Caenorhabditis elegans: one gene and its partner. The protein of the gene in region 1 interacts with the protein of each later gene in a biochemical or structural test. Each region holds a gene or a part of one and is shown on either strand. Other genes may lie near its edges.

Region 1 (5,947 bases):
ATTCGAAATGTCTCCAGATGTTGGCTGTACGAGACGGCGATCGCTTTGAATCAAGAAGTTTCAGATGGTATGGAAATTTCGATTTTTCCCCCGGAAATTTGCGAAAAAACGGCTTATTTTCGGCAAAAAATCTTGAAAATTCGAATTTCCCGCTAAAAAATGCCAATTTTTCTTCCAGATCTGCCCCTCCACGACTACTTTGACTACTTCATCCCGGACTACAAACTACACATAAAGCCGCTCGCCGCTCTTTCGAACTTCAACACTCCTGAATTCATTGATCAAACGATTGTCGCGCTTTTGGAGAATTTAAAGCAACTTCCACACGTTCCATCGGTCCAAATGCAATCGATTTCGACGAGTTGTGACTCAATTGTGAAGACTTTTGACGAGAAACTGATCCGAGATCATCAGAATGATGACGTCAGAGTTACTCAGTTCGAGGAAGACGTTCAGGTGGAAGATTCGGCGGAATTCTACGATGGTCAAGAGCCGGAGACGAAGAATATTCAATCGATGAAACGGCACGCGAGTCCGATTTGTGCGGCGCAAGAGGAGATGAAGAAAAATCGGATTGATGGCGGCGAAAATGTGGCATAATTTGGTTTTAACTTGATTTTCTGTATGCACTAACTTTGTATTTATATCGTCTCTTCAAACTATTTCTTTAATTTATACGAATCTCAACTTCTCTAAACCTCTATTGATCCTCAAATCTATTTAAATCTTTCGTTAAATCGACAATTAAAAAATTTCCGTCGTCAAGTGTGGTGCCGGTGGTGCATACACCGCCGCGCACAAATGCACAGATTTCGGCGTTTTCGAATTTTTATCGGATTTCTTTTCTCTATATTTTAAAGGATATTTTCTATCGTTTCTTGTCTAAAAACACAGTTTTTATCGAATTTATCACAATATAAACCTATTTATCATCTTTCTTTTGTGAATTTTCACTGAAAAATCAGGTTTTTTTACCTTGAAATTCTAATTTTCACCCGGTTTTATTTAATGGATGTTTGGATTTTCTCAATTCCTATTTATTTTCAGAATGAGCGGCGAAGAAGAGAAGGCAGCGGACTTTTACGTTCGTTACTACGTTGGACACAAGGTAGGTCTTGGAAAATCTTGGAAAAATGACAATTTTCGCCAATTTAAATTAGTTTACGAAACAATTTTCAGGGAAAATTCGGTCACGAATTTCTCGAATTCGAATTCCGTCCAAACGGATCGCTTCGCTACGCGAACAACTCCAACTACAAGAATGACACGATGATCCGCAAAGAGGCGACAGTGTCGGAATCGGTGCTCAGCGAGCTCAAGCGTATCATCGAAGACTCGGAAATCATGCAGGAGGACGATGACAATTGGCCAGAACCAGACAAGATTGGACGCCAGGAGCTGGAAATTCTGTACAAAAACGAGCACATCTCGTTTACGACCGGCAAAATCGGAGCTCTAGCCGATGTGAACAACTCGAAAGATCCGGATGGTCTCCGCTCGTTCTACTATCTCGTTCAGGATCTCAAGTGCCTCGTCTTCTCGCTCATTGGCCTTCACTTCAAGATCAAGCCAATCTAATTTAATTCCTTCAGACTCTGTTCTATTTTATCCACCAAATCTCTTTAACTTGTTTAATTTATTCGATTTTCTCTTCTCTTCTTAAGTTCTCAAATTTCTCAAGAATAAATTTTATTTCTTTCAAAAAGTACAGTTAGAAAAAGTCTGAGAGGTGGGGGAAAAGTTAGAATCAAAATCAATTTCATAGGGGGGGTCAATTCACAGGCCATTTGTAATCCGATCCGTTGGTCCTTAGCAATATCTAGAAATGTATTCCCGAACACGATGATTGAACGATTCGCGATTCTGACTCCACATCTGGGCGGCTTGAATGTTCAGCGCGTCGTTGAAGTCCATAAGATCGTTGAACAGTGAGACGAGTCCGTGGACGACGTCGGTGAGGTTACGCGTTGGACGCCATCCGTATTGATCCAACGAGTTTTGACGCAAAATCGATAGACAAATCGATCCGTCCTCGTTGATATTTGGATGCCAAACCTTTGTCAGGCACTTAACAACGGGCGGCACGTTGTTGTACTCTGGCGGGACGGTGATCTTGAATCGGAATTTGCCTCCACGATAGATTCCTTCTTGAGGTGTCACGGTGAGTTCCAACTCATGAAGACACGATGTTGATGGGACCTCGAGATGCCACAGCTTTTGCTTCTGATCGCGAAGAGCAGTCTCCAGCTGTTGGAGTTCTGAAAATGTTGTAAAATCAAAATTTTTTATAAAGCAGCCACATACCCTGAGCTAGGAGCTTGTCACGGACGGCGATGCGGGTTTCAAGATACCGACCGTCCTCGTTGTTGCCGTTGATTCGTTTTTGAAGATTGAACATTCTGAAAGCGAAAAATTAAGAAATACGATAATTTTCAGCGATATAGGCGGCGCATACGGAAACATAGAGAAAATAATCGTTTTTTTGGCAAAATTACAGTGTAAAAGGGTCAAAAATCGATGAAAATCTTGTAATTCAGCGAAAAAACGACAAATTACGTGAGAAAATGAAACAATTGCTATGAAAAATGACAGAGAATGAGGAATAAAAGACGCAGCGTTTGCTAACGCTGAAATGACTAAAGGGGGCGGAGCGCGAACGCAAGGCTGGCACACTTTTACCGCAAGTGCCGCACGGTTTCCCACGAGTCGGAGGAGGCAAGCGAAAACGATTCGAATCACACATATTTACGCTCCGGCCTAAAATCGTCATGTCTGGATTCTCTGTTTACGGTTAGTTTTGTTAATTGTAAATTATTCAAGTAGAAAACTGGAATATTCAGCTTTAAAAGCAGATTTTAATCGAGAAAAGCCGAATTTAAAGTCTGGCCTAAAATTTTTATTTTTCTCCAGGCGTTTTTCTATTTATTGTATTTGATTAGGCTGAGATAATTTGAGTTTTTAATAATTTTAATGCATTTTTCAGTCGGAAACGCTCCATTCCAAACTACCGAGGACGACCTTGGCAACTACTTCAGCCAGGCTGGAAACGTCAGCAACGTCAGGTAAGCTTCTCTCCCCGAAATCTCCTCTTCCCGAAACCTCCTGAACGACGACCCGTTAACTCTCAATATGAATCTCTATTTTCAGAATCGTTTGCGACCGCGAGACCGGACGTCCACGTGGATTCGCCTTCGTCGAGTTCACCGAGGAGGCCGCTGCCCAGAGAGCCGTCGACCAATTCAACGGAGTCGATTTCAACGGAAGAGCTCTACGCGTCAACTTGGCTCAAAACAGAAACAACTAATTTTCATATCGGTACTTTGTTACTTGTTTGATCTTTAATGATCTCAATAATAATAAACCCATGAAATCGTTATCATAAATATATATGCTCTATTTTTTTATTTCGAATCTTCATTTGGGGTCAATCTGATGGCAAGCGTTGAGGCTAGAAGCTTGAAGGAACGGCTTCGGTTCGAGCAAGTTTTGAATCCTGGGCTATGCGCAGCCCAATGTGAGCTTACAACTGAAAATTCAAGTTTCAACACTCTTCGCGGTCTTATTTTGGACTAATTCCTCATATTTTCAGCTTGAAATGGAAAAAATCTGTCGAAATCGATGCTATTCGAGGGGCGGGGCCAAAACGCAACCCTGGCACGGTTTTTACGCAACTGCCGCACGTTTTCTCCAAGGCAGGGTGAGCGGAAAAATTAAACCGTCATAAATTTTCTGCTACGGCCTAAAATCGTCATGTCTGGAATCTTCTCTGTTTACGGTTAGTTTTTTAATAATTTATTTTAAGTATTAAACAATCGGAAACTGGTTAAAATAGCCAATAAAACTCGATATTGTCCTGAAATTTTGGGATTTTTCGGAAAAATCGAATTCGCGAAGTTTTCCCTAATATTTTCATTTGAAAAGGCAATTTTAAGTGTTTAGATTCAAATTTGGTTGCGAAATATTTAAATCAATTAAAATTTTCCTTTTTTTTAGTTGGAAACGCTCCATTCCAGACCACCGAGGAGGAGCTTGGAAACTTCTTCAGCAGCATCGGACAAATCAACAACGTCAGGTAACTCTCCCAGCCAGCCCGAGCTTCATGATTTCTAACGCAATATCTCTTTCAGAATCGTCTGTGATCGCGAAACCGGACGTCCACGTGGATTCGCCTTCATCGAGTTCGCCGAGGAAGGATCCGCACAGAGAGCCGTCGAGCAGATGAATGGAGCCGAGTTCAATGGAAGACCACTCCGCGTCAACCTCGCCAACAAATAAGTTGATCTTCATATCGGGTTTTTGTTACTTTTTTGCTCTTCACTGATCTCATTATTAATAACAATCCAATGAAACTATCGATTTAATTATTTAATTCAATTTCAACTATTCTCTAACTAATCTGTTCAACATTCGGGGAAGTTTCTCTATTTGTCATCCTTCCATCCGCCGACCTGATTCAACTTTCTTCTTCCCCAGCTGCTCCGTTCAAGAGCCTACTCGACTACTAACCTGTTGCTGAAAATGTCGAAGCGAAAAGCAGAAGAAGCACCAGCACCAAAGCTCGCCTCGATCTTCACAAAGAAGGTGAAGCCGGCAGAAGAGGACAATAATCAGAAAAGCTGGAAGTTTGTGTGCTGGAACGTGGCAGGGCTCAGAGCTTGTGTGAAGAAAAGTGATTTTAAGGAAGTGCTCGCCGAGGAGCCTGACCTCGTTTTTCTAGGAGAGACCAAGTGTAAGGAGTGGCCCCCGGAGATGGAGGAGACGTTTAAGGTAAGGAATTCCTGGAAGAAAAGAGATTTTTCGCATATTTTACGGCCGGGTTTCATCAAAAATATGTTTATTAACACATTTTAAACGAAAAAACGTAGAAATTTCCATTAAATCCAAGCGGAAATTCACTATTTTTCCTGAAATCTACAAAGAAAATCGCAATTCAAAAGAAATTTGCATAAAAATAACATTTAAAAGTCAAAATTCTACCAGATTTCCATTTAAATAGGGATATTATGTGCTTTTTAAAAATATTTTGAATGAAATTTTAGCAGAAAAATGCGAGAAAATGGCTGAAAAAGCGATTTTCAAAGCTAATTTTTTTCCAGAACTACACCAAAACCCTCGTCGTCTCCACAGAGAAGAACGGTGGCTACGCAGGAGTCGGGCTGCTCAGCAAATGTGCTCCGATGAAGGTTCACAAAGGAATCGGTGACCCAGAATTCGACACTGCCGGACGTCTGATCATCGCCGAGTTCTCCAAGTTTTACTTTATCGGAGCTTACGTTCCAAATTCGGGCGCGAAGCTGGTGAATTTGGAGAAACGAGGACGCTGGGAGAAGCTGCTGACCGAGAAGATGAAGGAGATGGACGAGAAGAAGCCAGTGATCTACGGGGGTGATTTGAATGTTGCACATAATGAAATTGATCTGAAAGTAAATATATTGTATTAAATTTGTTTTAAAAATTATAAATTAACTCCCTGATCCTTTCAGAATCCAGAATCAAATCGAAATAAAACCGCGGGATTCACAGATCAAGAACGTGGATGGTTCAGTGAGATGCTCGAGTTGGGATTCACCGACACCTTCAGAGCCATGCATCCCGACGAGAAGAAGTACTCATTTTGGAGTTATCTGGCGAATTCTCGGCAGAAAGATGTTGGATGGAGATTGGATTATTATGTTGTCAGCAATCGAATTATGAATAAGGTCTCGTCTGGAAGCTGTGGAAAATTGAAAAAATGGGCAAAAAATGCAATATGTCTGGGATTTTTTCCCGTAAAATCCCGGTGGATACCGAAATTTTGATGGAATTTGCCATAAAAATTTGATTTTCCAAAAAAATTTAGACAAAATCCACCGGGGAATTGAAATTTTTCAGAAGATTTCCATGAAATCCACTTAAAAATTTAGAATTTTACTGAAATTTCGACGTAATCCAAGTGGAAATTCAATTT
Region 2 (5,583 bases), 1.5 Mb from region 1:
ATACATTTTCGATTTGCACTTAATATAACAACCGTATTTCTTCTATGATTGTTATACTATTTGTGTTGGGCTTATTAATTTTTACTTGAAAGAACTCAATTTTTCATTTGGAGATGTTAACATTTTGATCATAACTGTAACAAAAAGTTCAATAACTTCAATTTTTATAAACTTGAGAAAATTGTTTAAAAACAGGAAACAAAAATCTCGGTAACTCTTAAAAATTAGTGAAGCGGGATTGCACCAAACAAAAAATTAAACGCAAGATTATTAAGGAGTACAGTACTAATTTTCGGAAGATGTTTAAGATAATATGGTAAATTGGAAAAAATACGGTAAATATTTTATAGAAAAAAGATGAATGCAAGGGGAAACAGATGGGAGTGAGGAGATGATATTACGATTTACAAAAATGGGAATGGTATTTTACACGAATTTTGGAACTGGGGAAAACAGATGTCGTGCAATATGTGTTAGGTATGAACAAGATTAGAAAACACTAACACATTATTAGAATGGCATGCTGCTTTTTTCGATCACTTTCATGAATGACATCGACGCTTCATTTACGCATTGTGGACGGAGATTGTAAAATTGGGATATTAAATTGTTTGCATTGTGAAGGTGAAGAAACCATCCATGGATTCAACGACGTTACACTCTGCCTTAATTCCATCAATACGAGTTATTTCGAACTTTTGTGGTCCAATTTTATGCTTAGGTAGATTCATAATAATAGGCAAGTCACTGATGTCTGGATGTTCAAACTTAAGATATTGAAGCATACAATTCGAGTAACAAGACATCCAGTGACGGATAAATATATTCCAATCTTTTGCGCTCATATTCGAATGAAAAACTGTGATTTTGAGACAATCAAAATTGAGAAGAAAGTACAACCAGCGTTACCAAACTTTTTTGCTCGCGATGAGACCCATCTATTACGGGAACACGAAATTCTGAGAATGCGTATTGAACAACATATTTGACGCGCAAAATATCTCGTAGCGAAAACTACAGTAATTCTTTGAATTACTACTGTAGCGCTTGTGTCGATTTACGGGCTCGATTTTCGAAATGAATTTCTCCGTATTATTTTTTTCATTTTTTTATTCTAATATTTTATCGATTAATAAATGATTTCCGTAAATCGTCAGCAGTGCTACAGTACTCATTTGTTGCGTAATACGAATTCTCAGGATTTTTTGTTACCATAGTGTTATTTTCATCAATTTCTTTCTAATAAATGAAAAACATTTTTAAGAGTTACCGAGATTTTTTTTAATATTCCTTTTCAATGAGGAGAAAATTGTCAATGAGAAGCACTAATTGTTTCGCCGTTGCGTTCAGGGCAGGACTGCTTTTAATTTTAAAATAATAGCATCACGAGATCAAGAATGCATTATTTATTTGAACACAGAAAATAAAATGAGGAATATGATTTAAAGAACTGATGTAACAATAAATATTGAAAGTTGGAGAGATTGGACATAAAAACGGGACATTCGGGACTGTGACTCGTTTCTATTTGGAGCGGGCTCAATTCAGACGGGAGTTTACATTTTATATGAATACATTTTCTTAAAATCCTCCGCGGAGAGCAAGAACCAGATGAAGAACAGATCCACCGAGAACCTTGTAATCTGCTGCTGTCTTGTCGTCGTTCATTTGCTTTCCGGCGAAAATGAGACGCTGTTGGGGTGGTGGGATTCCTTCTTTTTCTTCGACCTGCAAAATAATTTTCGTTGGATATTTCGAGATAAAATTTAGCTAAAATGGAAGTTAAAGTATGTTACCTTTTCTTTGATTCTCTCGACTCGATCATTTGGTTCGATGTCCAGCTCAATTTCCTTTCCAGTCAAGGTTTTAACTTTGATGAGCATTTTCTGTAAACTGAGACGATAAATAGCGAATATTAGGTGAAAATTAACATAAAATTTTCAAAATACTGCGTTAACAGATAAAAAGTGATTCAAAAACAATGGATTTAACTCTAAACTTGAAAAAAAGAACAAAATTCGAAGAATGATGAGAGGGGTCCGGTAGAGCGCATTTGGAACGCGAGAACGAACGAGAGAGCATGAGAATATGAGAGACGCAGCAGCTTACTACGCAGTTATTTTTTGTTAATATTTATTTTTGTTTTTATAATATTATTTTCATTTTTAATTTCAGTCTTAGTCCGAAATCTATTTTGTTTGAAGTATTAAAAGTTCTCATAGCTATGAAATATATTATTGAGAAAAGAAGAAGAAAAATTCAAGAAATGAGATAGAAAATTGCTCACCGTTCGTCAAGACGAAAGAAAAGCGAATGAAGTACCTTTCTCGAACAAATGCGCTCAGCGTATCAAGAACAAATCGATTTCTTACAAATACTGCGCGTTCTGATCTCCTAGGAAGTTCAGTTAGGTTCATCCTAAACACTAGTTATCGATTTTCATATTTCCTACTGGTCGAATGTGATATAATAATGAAAATTAAACAGATTTGTGGATAGGAGAATTAAAATATCATTCATGAATCACGGAACACTATTTAGAAATTATATTTACATTACTCAAAAAATTGGGGTGAAATAGAACAAAACACAAACCCAAACATGAAATTAAATAAATTATTTCACCATTCATAACGGCCATCATAACTACTATTATAAGCCCATTAATGAGCACTCATTGAGCAGAAAATAAATAGACATTGGCCTTGTGGCCGAACTTGCACTCTTCCATAAAGCGTTCCAAAGAGCCTTCGATTTTCTTGCTTAAATGACATTTCTCTATCCTTTTCATAAATTGAAATTAATGCTTCCACTTAATAAACTAAATTTCAGCCGAAATGCCTACTATGGTAATGTCACAACTGCCTAAATCATCAGGCAATGCGCGAAAACGTCAAAAGAACAAAAACGACCACATTGTCGTAAGTATTTCTGAAGATTTCGAGTCCAACAACATTAAAATCAACCCTTTCAGGCAATCAGCTACATGTACGTTGGAACTCCAAAGAAAAAGTTCACCTTCTATGTTCGAGAAGTAAATTAAATATCTGATAGTTCAAGATTTATTCATTTCTTTTCAGAGAATGTTGTATCGTTCGAATGTGGAAGTTACATACGAGGATGTATACAACTATTTGGCTACAATTTCCAACGACGAAACTGTTTCTTTGCATTATTCTGGTAATTTTCTCAAAAAAATCCCATTTCGGAGCGAATTTTCAGACAAAAATTCGAAGTTAAAGTTTCTCATAGTTTTGTAGAAGTTTTAATCGAAAATTTATATAGAAAGATAGAAAAGTACTTCAACTGTTGTTTGCAAATTTTGAGAAACTGCAGCTTTCAGGCAGTATTCGAGGTCCCTTTTGTTTCTGAATAAATTTTTTTCTTTGTAAAGCTAGACAATTTTCAGTCAATGGTTTGTACGTGCCAATCACAACTACTGGACAGCTTCACACATTTATTCGCCATGTTCATAATGATCCTACTGCATTTCTGTACGTAGAGGTAAAAGTTTCAAATCTATCAGAATGTAATCTAATTTAATTTTTTTAAATTTCAGAATCAAGATTACGTATGGAATGTTACGCCACAGAGCAAAAGCCACAAAATGGAGAAGCGAGTTCCAAATGGAGGAGCTACTCCGATAGATGGAGACTCTGAACAGTATGATTCAACGGAGGACGAAGAAGTGTCTCATGTTGAAGATGAAAATTGTGATTCTGAAGAAATTAGTCAGGACGAGGAAGAATATGAAGATGAAGAAGGTGAAGAATATGACGATGATGATGAATCTCGAATTGCGCCAATTCTAACTGATTATACAGCTCCAATGATTGTTAGCGACAAGATACCATTGAAAGAAGCTTTTGTAGAGCCCAAACCACGTGGTCAAACCGGTCAGCAACAGGATACAGAGGTGAAACATCGATTGATACGTATTGGAGATCCACTCGCTTCACCTGCTAAAAGTATAGTAAATACTGAAATTTAAAAAATATTTTTTGTCCATTTTCAGAATCCCCACTTTCCAACCGTCAATGGACAGAATCACAAGCATACCATCACGTTAAAAATATTCTATCTGATACTTTATCCAAAAAGTCGATGGATTCAGCTCCAACACTGATAGCCGAACAACTCGTTCGAGACGTCTGGAATCCCTCATTCCCATATAATGAGAAAGTACACGAAGATACTGTGGCTCTTCTCGCTCATAGTCTGGGAACCGGTCTTCTCCATTATTATAATAGAATTTTGTCGAGATATGTAAGAATTTGTTGTCTGATATTACCAAGACATGAGATTGTACACTTTAAAAAATGCGGGACCCGGTCTCGCCAAGCGACATGCGCCTTTAAAGAGTACTGTAAATTCAAACATTCAATTTCCATAGATTTTCATTTAAAAATAATTGATTTATTGAAATCCCAAAATAAAACAATTAAAACACAAATTTCAATAAATCATTTTTTTTAAACTATAAAAAGTCTATACAAATTTGAAGTCACAGTACTCTTTAAAGGCGCACACCTTTTTGAGGTTAACGAAAATTTGTCTTGGCGAGACCGAGTACCATATTTTAAGCTTAGACATTGCAAAATTTCGTGTCGGGGTAATATATATATATATATATATAATGTTTTTGAAACAGAGATAGTTAAAGTTGAATCCTTTTCAGGCTCCCTGTGATATTTCTTCCGATTATTCGCCGCGAATGGAAAAACTTTTGAAGGAAGAACTCATGGTAATTCAATCTTCAAAAAAAAACAAATTCAAAGCACTTTAGACTCTGGATTCTCGCATATGAGTAATACTAGTTTTAGGAAAGTTTTTAAATTGCTAGTTTTTCGTTTACAAGCACTCAAATTTTAACAAATATAAAAAAAAACAATAATTAATGCAAACCGTTGAATTTTCAAAGTACGTTTTTTTAATTGAATAACACATGATTAGTTTTTACCTCAAAATAAAACAAATTTCAGCCCGCACACGATCCAGAGTTTCTGATAGAACTCGTCGAGAGCGCTACAATTGTTTGCTGTGATATGCTTGAAAGTGTACAACATTTGGCTCAACTTCAAAGACAATTCGATTATTTCAACAATATCAACGAGAAATACGTAAAAGCTAGTGAGTTCTGGAATTATTTCTGATATTATCAATTTTTTTTTCTTTTACAGAGCCCAACGAGAAGGATCCACTGCCACCTCTTCACGATATGTATGAGAATTTGAGAACTGCTGTCACTTCTGCTTATTTTGGTTTCAATATTTTGGAACCAATGTTTCCACCAGGATGTGAATGCAAAGAAGCTATTCGTTTAGTCACACTTGAACTTCAAAAAGTTCATGTTGCTTTGAAAGTTGCTTTGATGTCTTCTAATAGTCCACAATATGTAGATGAAGTGAAACGTTTCAGTATTGAAAGTATTCACTCTATTATTGGAAAATTCACTACCAAGTTCGTTTTTTTTCTAGTTAAATGTGTTCCAGAAAAGGTCCCACAATGATCGATTTCAATATTAGCTAGACGCAAAATTTTGCGTCAAAACTACAGTACCCGGTCAATATTTTGATAAATTCA

The links.
Region 2: of the proteins of ubc-12 (region 1) and ned-8, one has a biochemical effect on the other in vitro, tested with the Caenorhabditis elegans proteins (one study listed by BioGRID).

The regions. Positions count from the first base shown.
Region 1 is NC_003279.8:11,907,778-11,913,724, reverse strand, and holds ubc-12 (NEDD8-conjugating enzyme ubc-12), read right to left. Parts: upstream 2,406-5,947; 5' UTR 2,399-2,405; coding exon 2,305-2,398; intron 2,259-2,304; coding exon 1,810-2,258; 3' UTR 1,672-1,809; downstream 1-1,671. Other genes in the region: hda-3 (Histone deacetylase), read left to right, coding at 1-67, 179-600; mag-1 (Protein mago nashi homolog), read left to right, coding at 1,049-1,108, 1,180-1,578; rbm-3.2 (RRM domain-containing protein), read left to right, coding at 2,769-2,790, 2,984-3,062, 3,148-3,304; rbm-3.1 (RRM domain-containing protein), read left to right, coding at 3,751-3,775, 3,994-4,072, 4,128-4,275; exo-3 (exodeoxyribonuclease III), read left to right, coding at 4,519-4,767, 5,097-5,423, 5,484-5,699. UniProt on the Caenorhabditis elegans protein: Accepts the ubiquitin-like protein NEDD8 from the uba-3-ula-1 E1 complex and catalyzes its covalent attachment to other proteins. Plays a role in male tail tip morphogenesis.
Region 2 is NC_003279.8:10,371,977-10,377,559, forward strand, and holds ned-8 (Ubiquitin-like protein NEDD8), read right to left. Parts: upstream 1,887-5,583; 5' UTR 1,884-1,886; coding exon 1,797-1,883; intron 1,729-1,796; coding exon 1,582-1,728; 3' UTR 1,397-1,581; downstream 1-1,396. Other genes in the region: hpo-35 (PB1 domain-containing protein), read left to right, coding at 2,838-2,921, 2,975-3,034, 3,081-3,180, 3,410-3,504, 3,560-3,968, 4,016-4,266, 4,679-4,744, 4,983-5,130 and 1 more. UniProt on the Caenorhabditis elegans protein: Ubiquitin-like protein which plays an important role in cell cycle control and embryogenesis. Covalent attachment to its substrates requires prior activation by the E1 complex uba-3-ula-1 and linkage to the E2 enzyme ubc-12.